3 linked regions of the Anolis sagrei genome follow. The protein of the gene in region 1 interacts with the protein of each later gene in a biochemical or structural test. Links are inferred from orthologs where the notes say so. Each region holds a gene or a part of one and is shown in the gene's direction. Other genes may lie near its edges.

Region 1 (7,963 bases):
TGTAACTGAATTTGATCTATGTGCTGGCACGGCCGTACCAGAAGCTCCAGCTTTATTTGCTTTGTATTAAATGTTTGCTTGCAGTCCAAGGCTTGGGATTCTGCAGAAGGGTGGCTTCCTGTTAACGCTTGCAGTTATAGGGCAGGCCACCTGTCCATCATCATTAAGGTTTGATTCCGCTCCCTGTTCAGGCTCTGAGAGGGATAGGAACCATTTTGGTCAGTCTCAGCAAGGATAACTAATGTACAGGATGTGTATAGTCTTCTCCTGTGCAAAAGCTTCAACCCTTAAGACTTTCCGGGGGGGGGGGGGGGGGAACAGTCCAGGGAAAGAGCCCTAAAGCTCTGAGGAATTTTGGAGGGAAAAACAGCTTTGAATATCAAAGAACTCCAGCTGAAGAGACTACAGGCCATGCTGGTAGGTCCACTCGGTGCTTTGAGACGCAGTTCAAACTGGTAGTGGAGCCCACATCAGTTAGGTTTAGGTTCACAGTCAGCCTGGGAGAAGTTAGAAAGGGATTTTCCTTTAAAGTAAAGTAACAGTTAGAAGCCACCAGTTGCACAAAAGCCTGAAAGCATTTGTTTAACCTTTTGAAGACAAGAGAAGTTTCTGTTTGATTGTTCCTCAATAAAAGACTTTGTTATATTTCACAAGCCCTCTAAAGACTGTTTGTGGTGGAAAATCCCTAAGAGCTTCTCTTCGGGGGCCCTGGTTTCCCGCTGGGCTCAAGCTGCATGTACTGTTTTTAAGGCACTTCATTTCAAGCCCAGTGCGCGACAGAACAATCTATCTAAACAAGTTTTAAAACTGTGTGATGACTGACATGCATTTTTGTAAGTAAAGTTCTTATTTAAATCTCATAATTTGGGTTGATGCTGTTTTATTTTGATCTTTGATACATTTACCTGTGTATGTTACTCATTGCTATTTTATCAATGGGAATAAACAAGATGCTGGAACCTTTTAAAGCTTACTCTGTATCAAGCATGGACAAACTTCAGCCCTCCAGGTGTTTTGGACTCCAGCTCCCATAATTCCTAACAGTCTTTCCTTTTTCCTTTCAGTTGCTTAATTCCAGGGAGAGGAAAGTTCAGGCAGGCAGCCTTTTTGGCTTAATAGCTTTGTTTCCTTGCACTGAATATGAAACTAACTTTGTGAGCCTTCTGGGATTTACAAAACTAAGTATGGGTTAAGTTTTGATTCCAAAATATTTGGCGTGGGCCACACAAACACTTTGGATATGGCTTACGACTTACAAAATTTCCGATTTTCTTATAAATTCCAACACTTCTGAATTTTTTGCACATGCCTAATACTCATGTAGATTCCCAGATACTTTGCTTTGTTGACAGTTTCAATACCTGTCCTTTCCTTCTTACTTCTGGTCTTACTTCTGGAGATTCTTAAACATTTTTTCTGTTTGTTAATTGTAAGTCCAGATGCTTTTCCAAAGTCCTCAATAATTTCCAGTATTTTAGGTATTATCTCTATGGGATCTTTTTGTTGCTGAGATCTTAATATCATTCTGTATTGCATTCAGAGAAGTGAGTTTACAACTCTGAGAGCTCATGCAAAAATAAAAACCAGCTAGTCTTTACAGGAACTGCCACATTTCTTTTTTTTTCTCCCCCTTCCTTCCTGCTTTTTATGGTCTAGAAATTAGTCTTCTTTTGCATTAGAATTAACCACTAGGTGCCTCTCTTGGATAGGTTTAAATAGCTTTAAACAGTTTCTAGCCAATGTAATGAAATGGTATTGGAACAGGACCAGGGTTTGAATCCTCGCTCAACTACAGAACCCCACTGAATGACATTGCGAGCGTCTCACTCCCTCAGCCTGAGACAAACTTTATCTGAATCAGTCTTTCTATGAAAACCCCATGATACATTCAACTTAGAGCAATGTTTCTCAACCTTTCTTGTGCCGCAACCCCTTAATACAATTCTTCATTTTGTGGTGACTCCCGAACATAAAATTATGGTTCTTAACTGTAATTTGCTACTGTTATAAATCCTAATGTAAAATCTGATATGCAGGGTGTATTTTCATTCACTGGACCAAATTTGGCACAAATACCCAACACGCCCAAATCTGAATATTAGTAGGAATGGGGGAGGGGGAGATTGATTTTGTCATTTGGGAGTTGTAGTTGCCGGGATTTATAGTTAAGCTACAATCAAAGAGCATTCTGAACTCCACCAATGATGGAATTGAACCAAACTTGGCACACAAAACTCACATGACCAACAGAAAATTGGAAGGGTTTAGTGAGCATTGACCTTGAGTTTTGGAGTTGTAGTTCACCTACATCCAGAGAGCGCTGTGGACTCAAACAATGATAGATCTGGACCAAAGTTGGCATGAATACTCAACATGCCCAAATGTAAACACTGGTGGAGTTTGTGGAAAATAGACCTTGACATTTGGGAGTTGTAGTTGCTGGGATTTATAGTTCACCTCAATCAAAGCACATTCTGGACCCTACCAATGATAGAATTTGGCCAAACTTCCTACACAGAACCCCCCTGATGAACAGAAAATACTGTGTTTTCTAATGGTCTTTTGGCGACCCCACTGACACCCCCTTCGTGACCCCCCCCCCCTGGGTTGCAACCCCTAGGTTGAGAAAAGCTCCCTTAGAGCCTCCCTGAAACAGAAAGAGCTTGAAGCCATACACAGTTTCAATTGGCAAAGTTATACCTTAACCAAAGCATAACTTTACTGGTTTTCCTTGCGCAATTACATTTTATATTATTATTATATTGCAAGATGTGGATAACCACTCACTTATATGAATCCACATGTATATTCTGAAGCTGTATATTCAGGGTGGATATTCACCCTATCATCTGCTATAATTCAGTCTTATCCCATGGAACACCCACTTGATATATCATCCCCCAAATCATCTCCCATCCCACACACCATACACCCACTCAGTTCATTCTACCTATTCCCGAAAATCCTCAAATGCCAGTTATAATTATGAGCTGTCAATCATTCTGTGATATCCTTTGCTGGGAAACTGGACACTCTAGAGCTTCCTTCTTGCAACCCTAGCTCTCAGCTGTTGCATGCATTCGAGAAATCAACTAAGCATTGCTCAGCCACAGAGACAAGTAGGAGTGATAAGAGTGCCACATAAAAATGTCAAACATTTTGTCTTTAGAGGGCTGCCTAGAAACTGGATAGAAGTCTGCATCAAGTAGCCTTCTTAAAAGAAACCTATTTTGAGCATACTGTGATTCTTTCCCTACCCCAGCCTCCTTCAGAAAGAGAAAGAGACAAATTAGGTGACATCCTACCCTTCCCAGAATCAGGGTGCATTATTGAGCTATATATAGGAGGACCTGGGTGGGACTGAGAGTAATTCACTTGACGTCTCCACTTGTCCCAGGATGGTTGCTGTCTCTTTGGTGTCTGCCTGATTACTGGATACATGCTCTGTGAACACTGCTGGTTTCCTTAAACATTAGCATTCTCTAGTAAGGATATTATTGTGTTTTATTCCTTCCTTTCTTCCTTCTTCCTTCCTTCTTCTAAAGTCATGTTTTATACCTTTAATCATGTTACAGATATAGATACAAGTAGGGAAATAGTCATGCTGATATTATAAAGTTATGCAACTGTCACTGTTCTAGTCGTGGTTTTGTGTGCCTTCAAGTCATTTGAGACTTATGGCAACCCTCAAATGAGTCTAATATGGGCTTTATATATTTATTTATTTTTGCATGATTTGTTCAGATGGAGGTTGCAGTTGCTTTCATCTGATGCTGAGAATGAATGCATTGTGAGTTTCCATAGCCTTGTGGATTCGAACACTGGTCTGCCAGAATCTTAATCCAACATGCAAATAACTTTATCGGCAGTCCCCAAGTTGTGAACAAGATAGGCTCTGTAGGTTTGGTCTTAAGTTGAATTTGTTTGTAAGATGGACAGGTATATTTTTAAAGTGTTAACTTTAGCAAAAAATGTATATTTTAAAGCTTTGGATAGCTTGGGGGGGGGGGCAGTGCTGAGCTGCTGAACTTGCTGACCAGAAGGTTGGTGGTTTGAATCCAGGGAGTGGCATAAGCTCCAGCTGTTAGCCCTAGCTTCTGCCAACCTAGCAGCTGAAAAACATGCAGATGTGAATAGATCAATAGGTACTGCTCCAGTGAGAAGGTAACAGCGCTCCATGCAGTCATGCCAATCATATGACCTTGGAGGTGTCTATGGACAATGCCAGCTCTTCGGCTTAGAAATGGAGATGAGCACTAACCCCCAGTGTCAGACACGACTGGACTTAATGTCAGGGGGAAACTTATACCTTAGGGGAGGGTTAACACCCCTGTGGTGTTTGTTTTGTTGTCTGTTGGGAAGATTTCACATAATTTTCTGTCACTGTAATAATTGGATTCTGAAAAAAATTTGGCAAGATTGGTGAGAAAAAATTGACAAGGATTGGTGAGAAAGCTTTAGTGGAGACACCTTTCCCCCATAATAACTCTTCCAGGAGTGAATTTTCCTTCTGAGGGGTTGATTTCTCTCAGTTCCTGTGATCTAACCCCAGTTTGTAACTTTAAATCATTTGTAAGCCGGATATTTGTAACTTGGGGACTGACTTTACCATATATAAAAGACAAAATTAAAAAGAGAACCCAGGTTGTTGTTATTATTGTTTCTGACTTATGTTGACCTGAAAGCAAATAGGGTGTGTGTGTGTGGAAATGTTTATTAAGATGAGGCTTGCAATTTCCTAATTTAAATCTTCATTCAACCATGAAATTCACTTGGCACCTCACCAGACCGGGTACTTTTCGGCTGCATGTGCCAGTTTGACTTTATGTTTACTTCCAGTGGCGCTCTATCATAAAAGTAAAAACAAACTGGCACATTCTGCCTTGGTGGCAACTTGGGACACTTCCCGTGTTATTTGGGTCAATGGGGGGAAGCCAGTGGCCAACGCTTCCCCTGTGGGATGGAGCAACAGGTGAGTGGACAATGTGGGAAATGGGGTGACGAGTTCCCCACGTCCCTCGATGTGCACCTCTGGATTCATCACAATGCGTGGTGATTCCAATGCCCATCTGATGAGGTCATGGGTGACCTTGAACAAGTCACACCCTTTCCGCTCCAGAGGAAAGCAATTGCAAGGTTTTTGGGAAGAGGAAAATTATGTGTATTACCAAAAGAAAATGTCATCCTAAATCTGAAAAGGCTTAAGATTGGCATTGTTATTATTGCTTTGTACTTAAAGTTGTTTCTGACTTATGGCAACCCTATCGGAAGATACAGGGGCCTTATTTCCAAAAACACACAATGCCATGCAGTGCAGAGTGGTGTAAAACTTACCATTTAGCTTTCATTGTAGAGTCACATAAAGGCACATTATAGCAAAATGCAACAGTATACCATACAGAGAGAAAAGACAGAAAGAAGCAGGCAGGCATGGCTCAGAGATGGGCTCAAGTTACCACTCTGGTTTTCCCTTCTGAACTATTTATAGGGCGTTTGTCACCATGCCTAGCAGAGAGCCCAGCAGCTGCCTTGCAAGTTTAGCATTTCTCTCCAACTTGCAATAGATCAGGCTGTCATAGCCCTGAGCAAGCAGCGGATGAACAAAATTGCACAGAGGAGGAGACAGGGATGGCAATGAAATCAGGAATATCCAATCTCCCGAAGTCCAGAAATCTGGACAAACTGGTGTTGAAGGCCAACTCAGAAGAGTTGCATCTACATTGTAAAAGCTGTTTGGCATCACTTTGCCTCTCACTTTGGGGAAGAAGGAGGAAAACAGCAGGCAGCATAACTTTTAAAAAGTAGGATTTAACAGGGTCTTAGAGAGAAAGTGAATGAATCCCAGGGCAGAGGTATATCTGGTTACAATCCTGAGATGCAGTTGGAAGAGACTGTAAGCGTGAAGGTCAATCAAATAGGAACTATGGTGCAAAGGCTGGAGGTGGCAGCAGCGATCCTTTTTTGGACAGTTCCTGTTTAGTTTTTCAGTTTCTCTCCCAATCCAACTTTTATTGGAATCATTGTAGAACTCTCACTCAGACTCATTTGTCTCGAATTTCTAAGCCTTTAAGACACCAAAAGAAGTTTTGGGTTAGATATTTGACAAGGAGCTGTGTTGTATAGGGTTACACTCAGAGCTTGAAAAGGTTACTTTTAAAAATTAGTTACTTTTTGAACTACATTCCCTGCATAGCTAATGTGCATGTTTCAGATGGGGGATGATGGAACTTCTAATCCCAAAATTAACTTTTTAAAACTTTAGTTACATTTGAGCTCTTATCAGCCTACCAAATTTTGCTGTCAACTGATACCCACAAAGGATATTTTCTTTGGCCACCTCCAGATTGTAGAATAACCTGCCAGAAGGGCTTTATCATCTGAAAAAGCCACCTGTGTTTAAAACAGCAGTAAAGATCAGCCTCTATCCAGATTATTTTAAAATACAGATTTTAAAGTATTGCTTGGTTGAGTTTGTTATGTATTGGTTCTAAATTTTATTATTTATTTATTTAGTTAGTTAGTTAGTTACCCTATTTATACCCCACCTTTCTCTACCTCCAAGATAATTCAAGTCAACTTACATATGGCAATTATTCAATGCCTTAGATACATACAAACATTAAGCTTAAAATTAATTGAATTAAAATTAATACATATTAAACACCTAAAAACATTACATTAAATATTAACGCCATTTTAACCTTGGTTTTGTTGTTGTTATTAACTACCATCAACTCATCTTTGACTTATGATAACCCTATGAATATGAAACCTCCAAGTCACCCTATCTTCAACAGCGCTGCTCAGATCTTGCAAACTCGGGATCATGGCTTCCTTGATTGAGGCCAATCACCAGGAATGTGCTCTTTCGCTTTTTCTTTCTTTCTTTCTTTCTTTCTTTATTTATTTATTTATTTCTACCCTGCCCTTCTCAACCCCAGAAGGGGGAATCAGGGCAGCTTACAACAATTCAATGCCACAACATACAAACAATATAACAAATATAACAACAATTTAAAACAATAGATAAAACATTAGGTTAAAACAAATTAAAACATTATTATCAAGCCATATAACCATTTCCAGTCTGATTCAACATCCAAGTGCTGTCATGTCTGCTGTCCAAAAGCCTGGTCCTAAAACCAAGATTTAAGTTTCTTCCTAAAAGAAAAGAGGGATGAAGCCAATCTAATCTTGCTGAGGAGCGAGTTCCACAGGCAGCGGACCACCACCAAGAAGGCCCTGTCCCTCATCCCTGCCAAACATGCTTGTGAAGCTGGCGGAACTGAGAGCAGGGCCTCCCCAGACAATCTTAAATTGCAAGGTTGGACATAGAGGGAGATATGTTCGGACAGATAAGCTGGGCTGGAACCATATAGGGTTTTATAGTCCAAGACCAGTACTTTGAATTGTGCTTGCAAGTGGACTGGTAGCCACTTTTCTACAACCTACTACCTTATCAAGCATCATTATCTTTTCTAATAAGACATGCCTTTCTATGATATGGCCACAGTACCATATCACAGTTCCTATGATATGGCCATAGTTTAGATACCTTGACTTCTAGGGACAATATCATAATTTTAGTATTCAATAATTTTATCCTGACACCTATGGATTTGTCTAGATCAATGGTTCTCAATCTGTGGGTCTCCAGATGTTTTGGCCTTCAACTCCCAAAACACCTGGTAAACAAGCTAGGATTTCTGGGAGTTGTAGGCCAAAACACCTGGGGACCCACAAATGGAGAGCCACTGTTCTAGATCCTTCTTAACTACCCTTCTAAGTTCTAATACTACATCTAATGTCTTGACTGCAGTCTCCATTCTGATTCATAAATAGAAAATCTTGAATGGCATCAATGTTATCATCTGCTTTAAAGCTGTGTAAATGTCTTAGGAGAAGTGGGTAATGAATGTATGAAGATGATGGATTGCTGTTATTATTCATGGCTTGTCCCATT
Region 2 (7,963 bases), on another chromosome or scaffold:
ACCCAACCTTTTTAACGTGTATGCAGAACACATCATGCGATGTGCGGGGCTTGATGAATGCAAAGCTGGAGTGAAAATTGCTGGAAGAAACATTAACAACCTCAGATATGCAGATGACACCACTCTGATGGCCGAAAGCGAGGAGGAGCTGAGGAGCCTTCTAATCAAGGTGAAAGAAGAAAGCGCAAAAGCCGGGTTGCAGCTAAACATAAAAAAAACCAAGATTATGGCAACAAGAATGATTGACAACTGGGAAATAGAGGGAGAAAACGTAGAGGCCGTGACAGACTTTGTATTTCTAGGTGCAAAGATGACTGCAGATGCAGACTGCAGCCAGGAAATCAGAAGACGCTTACTTCTTGGGAGGAGAGCAATGTCCAGTCTCGATAAAATAGTAAAGAGTAGAGACATCAGACTGGCAACAAAGATCCGCCTAGTCAAAGCCATGGTATTCCCTGTAGTCACCTACGGATGTGAGAGCTGGACCTTAGGGAAGGCTGAGCGAAGGAAGATCGATGCTTTTGAGCTGTGGTGTTGGAGGAAAGTGCTGAGAGTGCCTTGGACTGCGAGAAGATCCAACCAGTCCATCCTCCAGGAAATAAAGCCCGACTGCTCACTGGAAGGAAGGATACTAGAGACAAAGTTGAAGTACTTTGGCCACATCATGAGGAGACAGGAAAGCCTAGAGAAGACAATTATGCTGGGGAAAGTGGAAGGCAAAAGGAAGAGGGGCCGACCAAGGGCAAGATGGATGGATGGCATCCTTGAAGGGACTGGCTTGACTCTGAAGGAGCTGGGGGTGGTGACGGCCGACAGGGAGCTCTGGCGTGGGCTGGTCCATGAGGTCACGAAGAGTCAGAGACGACTGAACGAATGAACAACAACAACATAGCAAGCATCCTCAGAGGTAGTGAGGTCTGTTGGAACTAGGAAAGTGGGTTTATATATCTGTGGAATGACCAGGGTGGGACACAGAACTCTTGTCTGTTGGAGCTAGGTGTGAATGTTTCAACTGACCACCTTGATTAGAATTTGATGGCCCGGCAGTGCCTGGGGCAATCTTTTGTTGAGAGGTGATTACTCTTTAGCATTTCCCTTTTTTGGTATGGGGATATAAATGGATTTTTTCCAGTCTGATGGCCATTCTTGTGTTTTCCATAATATTTATATTCTAATGTTATTATAATGTTATTCTACTATGATAATATATTACTATTAATAACAACATGAAGAGGGAAAAGGTGGATAATCATTCAAGGAAGGCTCTATCCCTGACTGAGGAGCGATGGGCCTCGCTGAGGGGCGCCCCTGCTAGGAATATTTTGCGGACTACATTTCCCAGAATGAGATAGGATTGTTGTTGTTGTGTGCTTTCAAGTCATTTCAGACTTAAGTTGATCCTGAGCGAGGGCCGGGTAAATGACCTTGGAGGGCCGTGTCCGGCCCCCGGGCCTTAGTTTGAGGACCCCTGTTCTATAGGCATTCTCTCCTGACGTTTTGCCTGCATCTGTAGCAAGCATCCTCAGAGGTAGTGAGGTCTGTTGGAACTAGGAAAGTGGGTTTATATATCTGTGGAATGACCAGGGTGGGACACAGAGCTCTTGTCTGTTGGAGCTAGGTGTGAATGTTTTGTGTTATATTGTATTGTATTAATTGTCTGTTTTTAGTCTATTGTGTTTTGCTATTGCATTTAATTGTAATTGTGGGCATCAAATTGTGCCGGATGTAAGCCGCCTTGAGTCCCCCCTAGGGGGTGAGAAAGGCGGGGTATAAATGACCTAAATAAATAAATAAAAAATGTTTCAACTGACCACCTTGATTAGCATTTGATGGCCTGGCAGTGCCTGGGGCAATCTTTTCTTGAGAGGTGATTAGTCTTTAGCATTTCCCTTTTTTGGTATGGGGATATAAATGGATTTTTTCCAGTCTGATGGTCATTCCTGTGTTTTCCATAATATCTATATTCTAATGTTACTATAATGTTATTCTACCATGACAATATATTATTATTAATAACATTAAAGAGGAAAAAGGTGGAGAACCATTCAAGGAAGGCTCTATCCCTGACTGAGGAGCGATAGGCCTCGCTGAGGGGCGCCCCTGCTAGGAATATTTCGCGGACTACATTTCCCAGAATGCCTTCCCCTTGAAACAACCGGCGAGGGCTTCTGGGACTCAGAGGCTCAGGTCTGTGTTGTTTGGGACTCAATTTCCCAGAGTTCTTTCCTCTTGGTGCAGGCGGGGAGGCCTTCTGGGAGTTGTAGGCGCCGAGGCTGTGAGGCGGCAAAGGAACCCCGTCCGTGCTCCGGGCGCCATTTTTCCCCTGCCCTCCACTGGAAGAGGGGGCGTGGAGCGCGGAGGGAGGGAAGGCCTGGCTTTCCCCGCCCAGGACGGAGGAGGCGGTGCCGCTTGTTTATCGAGAGAGACCCCGAAGGAGGGAGAAGGGCGACGGCGGAGGAGGCATGGCGGGTCGCCTGGGTCTAGGCCTCGGGCTCGGACTAGGCCTCCTCCTGGGAGTGCTTCTAGCGACCTGCATGCCCGAGGCGCGAGCCCAGAACCCCGACCAGAGTGAGTCCCAGCGAAGGCATGCGGGAGAGGGTTAGGGCTAGGGTTGGATCTGGAATGACTGGGAAGGAAGAGGGAATCCATCGCTAATAGTAGTACTCACAGTAGATCTGAAATGCCTATTGAGAAGAGGAGAATACATTGCTATTATTATGCTTACTATTATTAGATCTGTAATTCCTATTGAGAAGAGGAGGAGAGGGACTCCATTGCTATTAGTATTCGTATTATTATGCTTACTATTTGGCCTGTAAGAGAAGGAGAGGGAATGCATTGCCATTATGATTACGTTTATTATGCTTACTATTGGGTCTGTAGAAGAAGGAGAGGGAATGCATTGCTATTATGATTATGTTTATTAGTAGTAGCACATCTGTAATGCCCATTGAGAAGATGAGGAGAAGGGACTACATTGCTATTAGTATTCGTATTATTATGCTTACTATTGGGTCTGTAGGAGAAGGAGAGGGAATGCATTGCTATTATGATTATGTTTATTAGTAGTAGCACATCTGTAATGCCCATTGAGAAGATGAGAGGGACTACATTGCTATTAGTATTAATATTATTATGCTTCCTATGGAGTCTGTAAGAGAAGGAGAGGGAAGGTATTGTTATTATGATTATGTTTATTATTATTAGTAGCAGATCTGTAATGCCCATTGAGAAGAGGAGGAGAGGAACTACGTTGCTATTAGTATTCGTATTATTATGCATTCTATTGGGTCTGTAAGAGAAGGAGGGGGAATGCATTGCTATTATGATTATGTTTATTATTATTAGTAGCAGATCTGTAATGCCCATTGAGAAGAGGAGAGGGACTACATTGCTATTAGTATTAATATTATTATGCTTCCTATCGGGTCTGTAAGAGAAGGAGAGGGAATGCATTGCTCTTATGATTATGTTTATTAGTAGTAGCAGATCTGTAATGCCCATTGAGAAGAGGAGGAGAGGAACTACGTTGCTATTAGTATTCGTATTATTATGCATTCTATTGGGTCTGTAAGAGAAGGAGGGGGAATGCATTGCTATTATGAGATTATGTTTATTATTATTAGTAGCAGATCTGTAATGCCCATTGAGAAGAGGAGAGGAACTACGTTGCTATTAGTATTAATATTATTATGCTTCCTATCGGGTCTGTAAGAGAAGGAGAGGGAAGGCATTACTATTATGATTATATTTATTATTAGTAGTAGCAGATCTGTAATGCCCATTGAGAAGAGGAGGAGAGGAACTACGTTGCTATACGTTGCTATTAGTATTCGTATTATTATGCATACTATTGGGTCTGTAAGAGAAGGAGAGGGAACGCATTGCTATTATGATTATGTTTATTATTATTAGTAGCAGATCTGTAATGCCCATTGAGAAGAGGAGGAGAGGAACTACGTTGCTATTAGTATTCGTATTATTATGCATACTATTGGGTCTGTAAGAGAAGGAGAGGGAACGCATTGCTATTATGATTATGTTTATTATTATTAGTAGCAGATCTGTAATGCCCATTGAGAAGAGGAGAGGGACTACATTGCTATTAGTATTAATATTATTATGCATACTATTGGGTCTGTAAGAGAAGGAGAGGGAACGCATTGCTATTATGAGATTATGTTTATTATTATTAGTAGCAGATCTGTAATGCCCATTGAGAAGAGGAGGAGAGGGACTACATTGCTATTAGTATTAATATTATTATGCTTCTTATTGGGTCTGTAAGAGAAGGAGAGGGAAGGCATTGCTATTATGATTATATTTATTATTATTAGTAGCAGATCTGTAATGCCCATTGAGAAGAGGAGGAGAGGGACTACATTGCTATTTGTATCCGTATTATTATGCTTAATATTGGGTCTGTAAGAGAAGGAGACGGAATGCATTGCTATTATGATTATATTTATTAGTAGTAGTAACAGATCCGTAATGCCCATTGAGAAGAGGAGAGGGACTACATTACTATTAGTATTAATATTATTATGCTTCCAATTGGGTCAGTAAGAGAAGGAGAGGGAATGCATTGCTGTTATGATTATGTTTATTATTATTAGTAGCAGATCTGTAATGCCCATTGAGAAGATGAGGAGAGGGACTACATCGCTATTAGTATTAATATTATTATGCTTCCTATTGGGTCTGTAAGAGAAGGAGAGGGAATGCATTGCTATTATGATTATTATTATTATTATTAGATCTGTAATGCCTATTGAGAAGAGGAGCAGAGGGACTACATTGCTATTATTATTATTATTATTATTATTATTATTATTGGACCTGTAATGCCTGTTGAGAAGACGAGGAATACATTGCTGCTGCTGCTATTATTGTTATTATTAGATCTGTAATGCCTTTTGAGAAGACGAGGAGAGGGAATACATTGCTATTATTATGCTTACTATTGTTATTGTTACTATTGGATCTGTAATGACTTAGGACGAGGGAAGGAAATGCACATCGCTATTATTATTATTATTATTATTATTATTATTATTATTATTATTAAGATTAATCCAATGGCAGGACAGGAGGGAGAGGGAATACATCACTATTAGTAGTAGTAGAAATAATATATCTGTTTTGCCAGTTAAGAAGAAGAGAGGGAATACATTGTTGTTATTATGATTATTATGATTAGATCTATCATGCCTGCTAAGAAGATGAGATTATTATGCTTATTATTATTATGCTTATTGCTTACTGTAATGCCTATTATGGGGAAGGGGAGGAGGGATATGAGAGGAAATACATCACTATTATTATTATTATTAGATTTGTAATGCCTATTAAGAATAGGAGGGAGAGCAGAGGAAATATTATTGTTATTATTCATAAGAAGTTTTAGCCCCCGGTGGTGCAGTGGGTTAAACCCCTGTGCCGGCAGGACTGAAGACCGACAGGTCGCAGGTTTGAATCCGGGGAGAGACGGATGAGCTCCCTCTATCAGCTCCAGCTCCTCATACGGGGACATGAGAGAAGCCTCCCACAAGGATGATAAAAACATCAAATCATCCGGGCGTCCCCTGGGCAACGTCCTTGCAGACGGCCAATTCTCACACCAGAAGCGACTTGCAGTTTCTCAAGTCGCTCCTGACACGACAAAAAAATAAGAAGTTTAATCCAAAGGAAGGGAAGGAGGGAACGAAGAGATACATTATTATTATTATTATTATTATTATTATTATTATTATACTTGGTAATGCCTTGTGGTTGGCAGTAGCACAATAGTGTAATATATATAATATATCTGATATTATAATGCTATAAAGCATATAAGAATAGGTGAATAGAAGAGTGAATTGTTATTATTATCATCATCATCTCTAGATATGCCAGTGCCGATTTCCTGTCATTTTGTTGTTGTCGATAGTAATACAAATATAAATAGTATAAGAATAGGAGTGCAAGCGAGTATCCATTTCCTAGGAGGAATAGAAGAGAGAACTATAATAATAATTAATAATAATAATAATAATTATTATTATTTTTAGATATGCCAGTGCAGCTTTCCAGTGGTCTTGTGGTTGGCAGTAGTACTATAATATGTAATCTAATATACATTACATAAGTGCAAGGAGAGGAGTGCAAGGGGGAGCCTATTTCTTAAGGAGGAGGTAGAGAAGACAGGATAGCAGTAATACTGACAAGAATGATGATAATAGTAAAATGACAACTTGTAATGCTATACTTGCTTTCCTGTGGTTGCTGTTGGCGCCTGTACTGTAACATAATATATGGCATAGTGTGATATATGCGATACCAAGATATCATAATAGGAGAAGCAATTATGACGCCAATTTCTTAGGAGGAAGGGAAGCAAAAATAATAACAGTAATAACAACACATACATGTAATAATAGCCAACAAAGAGCAAAGCTAGGCCTCTCTCTTCTGTGGTCTTGAAGTAGAGAGTAGGAGTAATATAAGGGATCTTACATGGTTTGACAGCTGGAATATTAATGATAATAGAGTCTCTCTTCTCTGAAGTGCTGGGGATCAGAAGTGCTTAGGAATATTTCAGAATATTTATCTCTGTTTGCAATTGTGTACAAACAGAGGCATATTGGAAATGGGACAGTGATGGTGGGTATCACTAGACAATCACCTCCATTATCAGTAGTTCAGTTGGTAAAGGAACCTTATTAATATTAATAATAATATAAGTTATCACTTGGGGTAGAGAATCGCCTCCTTCAGCATCAGTAGTTCAGTTAGTAAAGGAACCATATTCACATAATAATCATAATAGTTATCACTTGGGGTAGAGAATCTCCGCCTTCAGCATCAGTAGTTCAGGTAGTAAATGAACAATATTAATATACTAATTATTTTTATTACTATCATTTGGGCTAAAGAATCACTTCTTTCAGCATCAGTAGTTCAGTTAGTAAAGTAACCATATTCACACACTACTACTACTAATAATAATAATCATCACTTGGTCTAGAGCAGTGCTTCTCAACCTTCCAAATGCTGTGACACCTAAATCCAGTTCCTCATGGTGTGGTGACCCCCAACCATGACATTATTTTCGTTGCTACTTCATAACTGTAAATTTGCTACTGTTAGGAATCGTAATGTAAATATCTGATATGTAGGATGTATTTTCATTCACTGGACCAAATTTGGCACAAATACCCAATATGCCCAAATTTGAATACTGGTGGGGTTTGGGGGGGGATTGATTTTGTCATTTGGGAGTTGTAGATGCTGGGATTTATAGTTCACCTACAATCGAAGAGCATTCTGAACTCCACCAATGATGTAATTGAACAATCTTGGCACACAGAACTCCCATGTCCAAGAGAAAACACTGGAAGGGTTTGGTGGGCATTGACCTTGAGTTTTGGAGTTATAGTTGACATATATCCAGAGAACACTGCAGACTCAAACAATGATGGATCTGGACTAAACTTGGCACGAATACTCAATATGTACAAATGTAAATACTGGTGGAGTTTGGGGTAAATAGACCTTGACATTTGGGAGTTGTAGTTGCTGGGAAGTATAGTTCACCTACAATCAAAGAGCATTCTGAACCCCACCGATAGAATTGGGCCAAACTTCCCACACAGAACCCCCATGACCAACAGAAAATACTGTGTTTTCTGATGGTCTTTGGCGACCCCTCTGATACCCCCTTGCAACTCCCCCCCCCCCCCAGGGTCCCGAATGCCAGGTTGAGAAATGCTGGTCACAAATCGGCTCCTTCAGCATCAGTAGTTCAGTTAGTAAAGGACCCACAATAATAATAATGATAATAATACAATTTATTTGGAAGTCTTCAAGACTTAGGAGAGAGTACGACATAGTTAAAACAGATAGATCAAAATATAAGACCATGAAGATTTATGGAGATAATTAATTCCTGAGCCAGATTATTAGAAAGTTTAAAATGACA
Region 3 (7,963 bases), on another chromosome or scaffold:
CCAACTTGGAATATGAGTGGGTTTGGAACAATGACAGGTGATGGTGGGAGTTGTAGTTTACTCATATTCTTATGCATTTACTAATGAGCCCATTCTTAAAAGTCAACAATTGATATTTTGTATGTTTATCATTATTATTATCATTATATCCTGCTTTCCTTCCTTAAAAGGGGACTCTTATTATTATTATTATTATTATTATTATTATTATTATTATTTCCTGCTTTCTTCCCCTAAAAGACTCTAAATATTATTATTTCCTGCTTCCCGCTTCAAATGAGACTCTTATTATTATTATTGTTGTTGTTACTATTATTGCAATTATTATTATGTGCTTTCTTCCCCTAAAAGAAGACTCTAGTCTAAATATTCTTCTTGGCACCACTTGAACTGCCAATGGCTCAAGGCTATAGGGGCCCTGCGAGTCGTAGTTCGACAAGGCCTTCTGTAGCAAACAGTGTAGAATTACAACTCCCAGGATGCCGTAGCCATGGGCCACTTTGACAAGCCTGTTCTCTTGCCACACAAAACTCTGGAAGCTGTAGTTCGCCAAGGGAACTTTCAGCCTTTTCTGTCAAATAATGGCTCCGTGCTCTTGGAGTGGTGGGAGTTGTAGTTCCTCCACGCCCTTTTAGCCTTCCCTGCAGAAATGGGTGCTGATCCCACACCAAACTACAACTCCCACCCTGCCACAAACACTTCAGCAAACTACAACTCCCAATCTGCCATGAACACTTAAGCAAACTACAGCTCTCATCTTTCCATGAACACCTCAACAAACTACAACTCTCATCCTTCCACAAATACCTCACCAAATTACACCTATCCTTCCATGAACAGTTCAGCAAGCTACAACTCCCATCCTTCTATGAATGCTTCAGCAACTACAACTCCCTTCCATGAGTACTTCAGCAAACTACAACTCCCATCCTTCCACAAATACCTCAGCAAACTACAACTCCCACCCATGAATTCTTCAGCAAACTACAACTCCCATCCTTCCATCAATTCATCATCAAACTACAACTCCCATCCCTCCATGAGTACTTCAGCAAACTACAACTCCCACCCTTCCACAAATACCTCATCAAACTACAACTCCTATCCTTCCATGAACTCTTCAGCAAACTACAACTCCCATCCTTCCACGAATACCTCAGCAAACTACAACTCCCATCCCTCCATGAGTGCTGCAGCAAACTACAACTCCCACCCTTCATTGAACACTTCAGCAAACTACAGCTCCCATCCTTCCATGCACACCTGAGCAAGCTACAACTCCCATCCTTCCATGAGTACAAACTACAACTCCCATCCTTCCATGTGTACTTTAGCAAACTACAACTCCTATAATTCCACAAATACCTCATCAAACTACAACTCCTACCCTTCCATAAACACTTCAGTAAACAAATCCCATCCTTCCACGAATACCTCGGCAAACCACAACTCTCACCCTTCAATGAATTCATCAAACTACAATTCCCATCCTTCCATGCACACCTGAGCAAGCTACAACTCCCATCCCTCCATGAGTACTTCAGTAAACTACAACTCCCATCTTTCCATGAGTACTTCAGCAAACTACAACTCCCATCCTTCCATGAATACCTCAGCAAACTACAACTCACATCCTTCCATGAGTACCTCAGCAAACTATAACTCCCAACCTTCCATGAGTACTTCAGCAAACTACAACTCCCATCCTTCCATGAGTACTTCAGCAAACTACAACTCCCATCCTTCCATGAATACCTCAGCAAACTACAACTCACATCATTCCACGAACGACTCAGCAAACTATAACTCCCATCCTTCCATGAGTACTCCCATAATTCCCTGAACACTTCTGTAAACTACAACTCCCATCCATACATGAGTTCTTCAGCAAACTATAACTCCCATCCTTCCATGAGTACCTCAGCAAGCTACAACTCACATCCTTCCATGAGTACCTCAGCAAACTACAACTCCCCTCCTTCCACGATCGACTCAGCAAACTATAACTCCCATCCTTCCATGAGTACTCCCATAATTCCACGAACACTTTAGCAAACTACAACTCCCATCCTTCCACGAACACCTCAGCAAACTACAACTCCCAAGGGGTCCCATGAGCAGGGGTGCCCAAAGTGGGTTAATTCTCCCCAGTGTAGACGGCCTCAGCTCCAGAGAGGCCTTGCCTTTGAGGGATGCTGGGAGTCGGAGTCCAAAACACAGGGAGGTGCTTTGAGGGAAAGGACTCCAACTCCCGTCGTGCCTCGGGGCGCGGGGACAGGGAGAGGGCGGGCTTGGCCGCAGTGACGTCGCCGCCGCCGTCCAATAAGAAGCCCGGCCTGGGCGGTGAGGTCACTGTGGGTGACGTCAGAGGAGAGAGAGAGAGAGAGGCAGCAGAAGAGCCTCGGCGGCGGGCGAAGCAGAAGCAGCCAGCAGAGAGCAGGAGCAGGAGCAGGAAAGCGGTGCGGAAGGGCGCAGGAAACAGACACACAACAAGAGGAGAACCAAAGAAATTAAGAGAGGGGAGGGGGTGCCAGGAAGAGCCGGCTCGGGAAGGGCGGGGCCTCGGAGGAAGGAGCAAAGGAGGCGGAGCCAAGGAGAGAGAGAGAGAGGATCCCACCGCGCAGGCGCAGGAAGCGGGGCTCCAGCGTTAAAGGGGTCCTGACAGGACAAGAGAGGCCGCCGGCCGGGGGGGCGCCATGTCCTCCCCCAGCCCTGGCAAGAGGCGGATGGACACCGACGTGGTCAAGCTGTATCCTTCGCCTGCGGGAAAACGAGGGGAACGGGGGAAGGAAGGGGGTGTTGTGGTTGTGGGAAACGGGGGGCACCCCAAAAGGCAGGGAAAGAGGGACGCTGGCCCTTTAAGAAGGCCAAGCAGGCAGGGAATTGAATTGGGGGATCCCTCTCAAGCTGGGGGTTGCTTACAGGGTCTTCCTCCTCAAGTGAAAGAAATTGAGAGATATTTTAGAAAGGATAGACCCCCCTCCCCCCCAAAAATAGAAAGACCCCTTCCCCATTGGAATGACTTGAGGAGTAAACAAAAAAAGGTTGCTGGCCCTTTAAGAAGGCCAAAGGGCCAAGGAATGGGGTATCCTCACAAGCTGGGGGTTGCTTACAGGGTCTTCCTCCTCAAGTCAAAGAAATTGAGAGATATTTTAGAAAGGATAGACCCCCCCTCCCCCCAAAAAATAGAAAGACCCCTTCCACATTGGAATGACTTGAGGAGTAAACAAAAAAAGGTTGCTGGCCCTTTAAGAAGGCCAAAGGGCCAAGGAATGGGGTATCCTCACAAGCTGGGGGTTGCTTACAGGGTCTTCCTCCTCAAGTCAAAGAAATTGAGAGATATTTTAGAAAGGATAGACCACCCCCCCCTTCCAAAAAGAGAGAGACACCCCTTCCCCATTGGAGTAAAAAAAGAGGATGCTGGCCCTTTAAGAAGGCCAAGGAGGCAGGGAATTGGGGGATCCCTCACAAGCTGGGGGTTGCTTACAGGGTCTTTCTCCTCAAGTCAAAGAAATTGAGAGATATTTTTAAAAGGATAGACCCCCCTCCCCCTAAAAAATAGAAAGACCCCTTCCCCATTGGAGTAAAAAAAGAGGATACTGGCCCTTTAAGAAGGCCAAGGAGGCAGGGAATTGGGGGGATCCCTCACAAGCTGGGGGTTGCTTACAGGGTCTTCCTCCTCAAGTCAAAGAAATTGAGAGATATTTTAGAAAGGATAGAGCCCCCCTCCCCAAAAAATAGAGACACCCCTTCCCAATTGGAGTAAAAAAAGAGGATACTGGCCCTTTAAGAAGGCCAAAGAGGCAGGGAATTGGGGGGGATCCCTCTCAAGCTGGGGGTTGCTTACAGGGTCCTTCTCACCAAGGCTTCCCTTTCAGAAAGGAATACAGATCCCCCCACAAAAAGAAAGACCCCTTCCCCATTGGAATAACTTGAGGAGTAAACAAAAAAAGGTTGCTGGCCCTTTAAGAAGGCCAAAGGGCCAAGGAATGGGGTATCCTCACAAGCTGGGGATTGCTTACAGGTCTTGCTCCTCAAGTCAAAGAAAATTAAGAGATATTTAAAAAAGGATAGACCACCCCCCCTCCAAAAAGAGAGAGAGACCCCTTCCCCATTGGAGTAAAAAAAGAGGATACTGGCCCTTTAAAAAGGTCAAGGAAAGCAAGGGTTGGTTACAGGGTCCTTCTCACCAAGGCTTCCCTTTGAGAAAGGAATACAGAGAGATTTGTAAAAGGACAGACCCCCCCTCCAAAAAAGAAAAAGAGAAAGACCCTTTCCCAATTGGAGTAAAAAAAGAGGATACTGGCCCTTTAAGAAGGCCAAGGAGCCAAGGAAAGGGAAGGCTTGTTTACACGGTCCTTCTCACCAAGTCTTCCCTTTGAGAAAGGAATTAGACAAACACCCCCCCCCCCCAAAAGAGAGAAAGACCCCTTCCCCATTGGTGTAAAAAAGAGGATATGGCCCTTTAAGAAGGCCAAGGAAAGGGAAGACTTGGTTACAGGGTCTTTCTCCTCAAGTCAAAGGAATTAGGGATATTTTAAAAAGGATAGACCCCCCTCCCCCCAAAAATAGAAAGACCCCTTCCCCATTGGAATAAAAAAAGAGGATACTGGCCCTTTAAGAAGGCCAGGGAATTGGGGGGATCCCTCACAAGCTGGGGGTTGCTTACAGGGTCCTTCTCACCAAGGCTTCCCTTTCAGAAAGGAATACAGATTCCCCCCCCCCCCCCCAAATAGAAAGACCCCTTCCCCATTGGAATGACTTGAGGAGTAAACAAAAAAAGGTTGCTGGCCCTTTAAGAAGGCCAAAGGGCCAAGGAATGGGGTATCCTCACAAGCTGGGGATTGCTTACAGGGTCTTGCTCCTTAAGTCAAAGAAATTAAGAGATATTTTAAAAAGGATAGACCCCCCTCCCTCCCCCCAATAGAAAGACCCCTTCCCCACTGGTGTAAAAGAGGATACTGGCTCTTTAAGAAGGCCAAGGAGGCAGGGAATTGGGGGATCCCTCACAAACTGGGGTTGCTTACAGGGTCTTTCTCCTCAAGTCAAAGAAATTGAGAGATATTTTTAAAAGGATAGACCCCCCCTCCCCCCAAAAATAGAAAGACCCCTTTCCCATTGGAGTAAAAAAAGGATACTGGCCCTTTAAGAAGGCCAAGAAAAGGGAAGGCTTGGTTACAGGGTCTTTCTCACCAAGTCTTCCCTTTGAGAAGGAAGATAGAAATATTTTTAAAAGGACAAACCTCCCCCCTCTAAAAATAAGAAAGATCCCTTCCCCATTGCAGTAAAAAAAGAGGATACTGCCCCTTTAAGAAGGCCAAGAAAAGGGAAGGCTTGCTTACAGGGTCCTTCTCTCCAAGTCTTCCCTTTGAGAAAGGAATACAGAGGGATTTGTAAAAGGACAGATCCCCCTCCTCAAAAGAAAGACCCCCTTCCCCATTGGTGTAAAAAAAGAGGATAGTGGCCCTTTAAGAAGACCTTTTCCCCATTGGAGTAAAAAAAGAGGATACTGGCCCTTTAAGAAGGCCAAGGGTCACAAGCTGAGGTTTGATTACAGGATCCTTCTCACAAAGTCTTCCCTTTCGGAAAGGAATACAGAGAGATTTGTAAAAGGACAGATCCCCCACTCCAAAAGAGAGAAAGACCCCTTCCCCATTGGTGTTAAAAAAGAGGATACTGGCCCTTTAAGAAGGCCAAGGAGCCAAGGAAAGGGAAGGCTTGTGTACAGGGTCCTTCTCTCCAAGTCTTCCCTTTGAGAGAGGAATACAGAGAGATTTGTAAAAGGACAGATCCCCCTCCTCAAAAGAAAGACCCCTTCTCCATTGGAGTAAAAAAGGAGGATACTGGCCCTTTAAGAAGACCCTTTCTCCATTGGAGTAAGAAAAGAGGATACTGGCCCTTTAAGAAGATCCCTTCCCCATTGGAGTAAAAAAAAAAGAAGAAGATACTGGCCCTTTAAGAAGTCAGGAAATGGGGCTGCTGAGCCTTTCAGAAAGTAAATTTAGAAAATTCCTCATTGAAATGACTTGAGGAGTAAAACAGAGAGTGCTGGCCCTTTAAGAAGGTAATTCTGAGTCAGGAAAGGCCAGGAAATGGGGGACACTGGCCCTTTAAGAAGGCCAAGGAAACAGGGAATTGAGGGATCCCTCACAAGCTGAGTCTTGATTACAGGGTCCTTCTCACCAAGGCTTCCCTTTCAGAAAGGAATACAGATCCCCCCTCAAAAAAAGAGAAAGACCCCTTCCCCATTGGAATGACTTGAGTAAAAAAAGAGGTTGCTGGCCCTTTAAGAAGGCCAAGGAGCCAAAAAATGGGGTATCCTCACAAGCTGAGGCTTGTTTACAGGGTCCTTCTCACCAAGTCTTCCTTTTAAGAGATTTGTAAGAGGATGGACCCCCCCCCCCCCCATAAAAGAGAAAGACCCCCTTCCCCATTTGAATGACTTGAGGAGTAAACAAAAAAAGGTTGCTGGCCCTTTAAGAAGGCCAAGGGGCCAAGGAATGGGGTATCCTCACAAGCTGAGGCTTGGTTACAGGGTCCTGCTCACCAAGGCTTCCCTTTCAAAAAGGAATACAGAGAGATCTGTAAAAGGACAGATCCCCCCCCCCCGCCCCGCCCCCCCAAAAGAGAAAGGCCCCCTTCCCCATTGGAATGACTTGAGGAGTAAAAAAAGAGGGTGCTGGCCCTTTAAGATGTCAGGAAATGGAGGTGCTGGGCCTTTAAGAGGGTAATTCCAAGTTAGGAAATTGGGGTGCTGGCCCTTTAAGAAGGTAATTCTGTATCAGGAAAGATCAGGAAATGGGGTACACTGGCCCTATAGGAAGGTAATTCTGAGTCAGGAAATAGGTGACACTGGCCCTTTAAGATGGCCAAAGGGCCAGGGAATGGGATAGCCTCACAAGGAAAGACTTAGTTACAGGATTCTTCTCACCAGATCTTCATTGATCCCGTTTAAAAAAGGGAATAGGCTAAAAAAAAAGACCACCTCCCTCCAAAAAGAGAAAGCCCCTTCCCCGTTGGAATGACTTGACGAGGAAATGGGGACACTGGCCCTTTAAGAAGTCCAAGGAGACAGGGCATAGCATATATTCACAAGGGAAGACTTGGTCACAGGATTCTTCTCACCAAGTATTCCTTTTTAAAAAGGAATTAGAGAGATTTTTTTTAAAAAGACAGACCCCCCCCCCATTAGATAAAGACCCTTCCCCATTGGAATTACTTGAGGAAAAAGAGGGTGCTGGCCCTTTAAGAAGGTAATTCTGAGTCAGGAAAGGGTGGGACTAGCCCTTTAAGAAGGTAAGGATTGGAGTCAGGAAAGGTTGCCTCTTAATTAAGACTTTTGCTAGAATTGCTCCCCAGTTTCTCTATCTATATTCCAATGCAACTGGAGCATGTCAATAGAGGAGGCTTGATCAGTAATCGCCATCATCATATTCCAAGATAAAGTCCCCTTTGTGGGGAGAAGGGTGGGATATAAATATATGAAACAAATAAATTAATAAAGACACCCTTCCCCATTGGAATGATTTGAGGAGTTCAGGAAATGTGGGTGCTGGCCCTTTAAGAAGGTAATAATAATAATAATAATAATAATAATAATAATAATATCTTTATTTGTATCCTGCTTTTCTCTCTCACGGGACCCAAAGTGGCTTATAACATATTAAAATCATGTAAACAAAAATCCAAATATATCGATAATAAGTATAAAACATCATAAAATAACAATTTAAAGCAACAATAACGTACATTCACATTCTTGTGGCATTGTGTCAGATCAGGTAATTATGAGTCAGGAAAGGTTGCCTCTTAATGAAGACTTTTGTTAGGATTTGTTAGAATTTCTATAACTTCATCTATTGCATTTAGAAGATTTTTTTAAAAATAGGGAAAATCTCAATGAAATCAGAGCATGTCAATAGAGAATGCTTTATTATTATTATTATTATTATTATTATTATTA

The links. The genes of interacting proteins can lie anywhere in the genome.
Region 2: the proteins of TRIM72 (region 1) and INSR form a complex in vitro, tested with the Homo sapiens proteins (2 studies listed by BioGRID). The link is inferred for Anolis sagrei from reciprocal best matches to the Homo sapiens genes TRIM72 and INSR.
Region 3: the proteins of TRIM72 (region 1) and UBE2H form a complex in vitro, tested with the Homo sapiens proteins (2 studies listed by BioGRID). The link is inferred for Anolis sagrei from reciprocal best matches to the Homo sapiens genes TRIM72 and UBE2H.

Annotation. Positions count from the first base shown.
Region 1 is NC_090026.1:15,579,174-15,587,136, forward strand, and holds the start of TRIM72 (tripartite motif-containing protein 72), read left to right. Parts: upstream 1-3,347; 5' UTR 3,348-3,485; intron 3,486-7,963. UniProt on the Homo sapiens protein: Muscle-specific E3 ubiquitin-protein ligase that plays a central role in cell membrane repair by nucleating the assembly of the repair machinery at injury sites.
Region 2 is NC_090034.1:58,587,482-58,595,444, forward strand, and holds the start of INSR (insulin receptor), read left to right. Parts: upstream 1-2,333; 5' UTR 2,334-2,462; coding exon 2,463-2,568; intron 2,569-7,963. UniProt on the Homo sapiens protein: Receptor tyrosine kinase which mediates the pleiotropic actions of insulin.
Region 3 is NC_090025.1:195,013,554-195,021,516, reverse strand, and holds the start of UBE2H (ubiquitin-conjugating enzyme E2 H), read left to right. Parts: upstream 1-2,345; 5' UTR 2,346-2,696; coding exon 2,697-2,749; intron 2,750-7,963. UniProt on the Homo sapiens protein: Accepts ubiquitin from the E1 complex and catalyzes its covalent attachment to other proteins. E2 ubiquitin conjugating enzyme that transfers ubiquitin to MAEA, a core component of the CTLH E3 ubiquitin-protein ligase complex.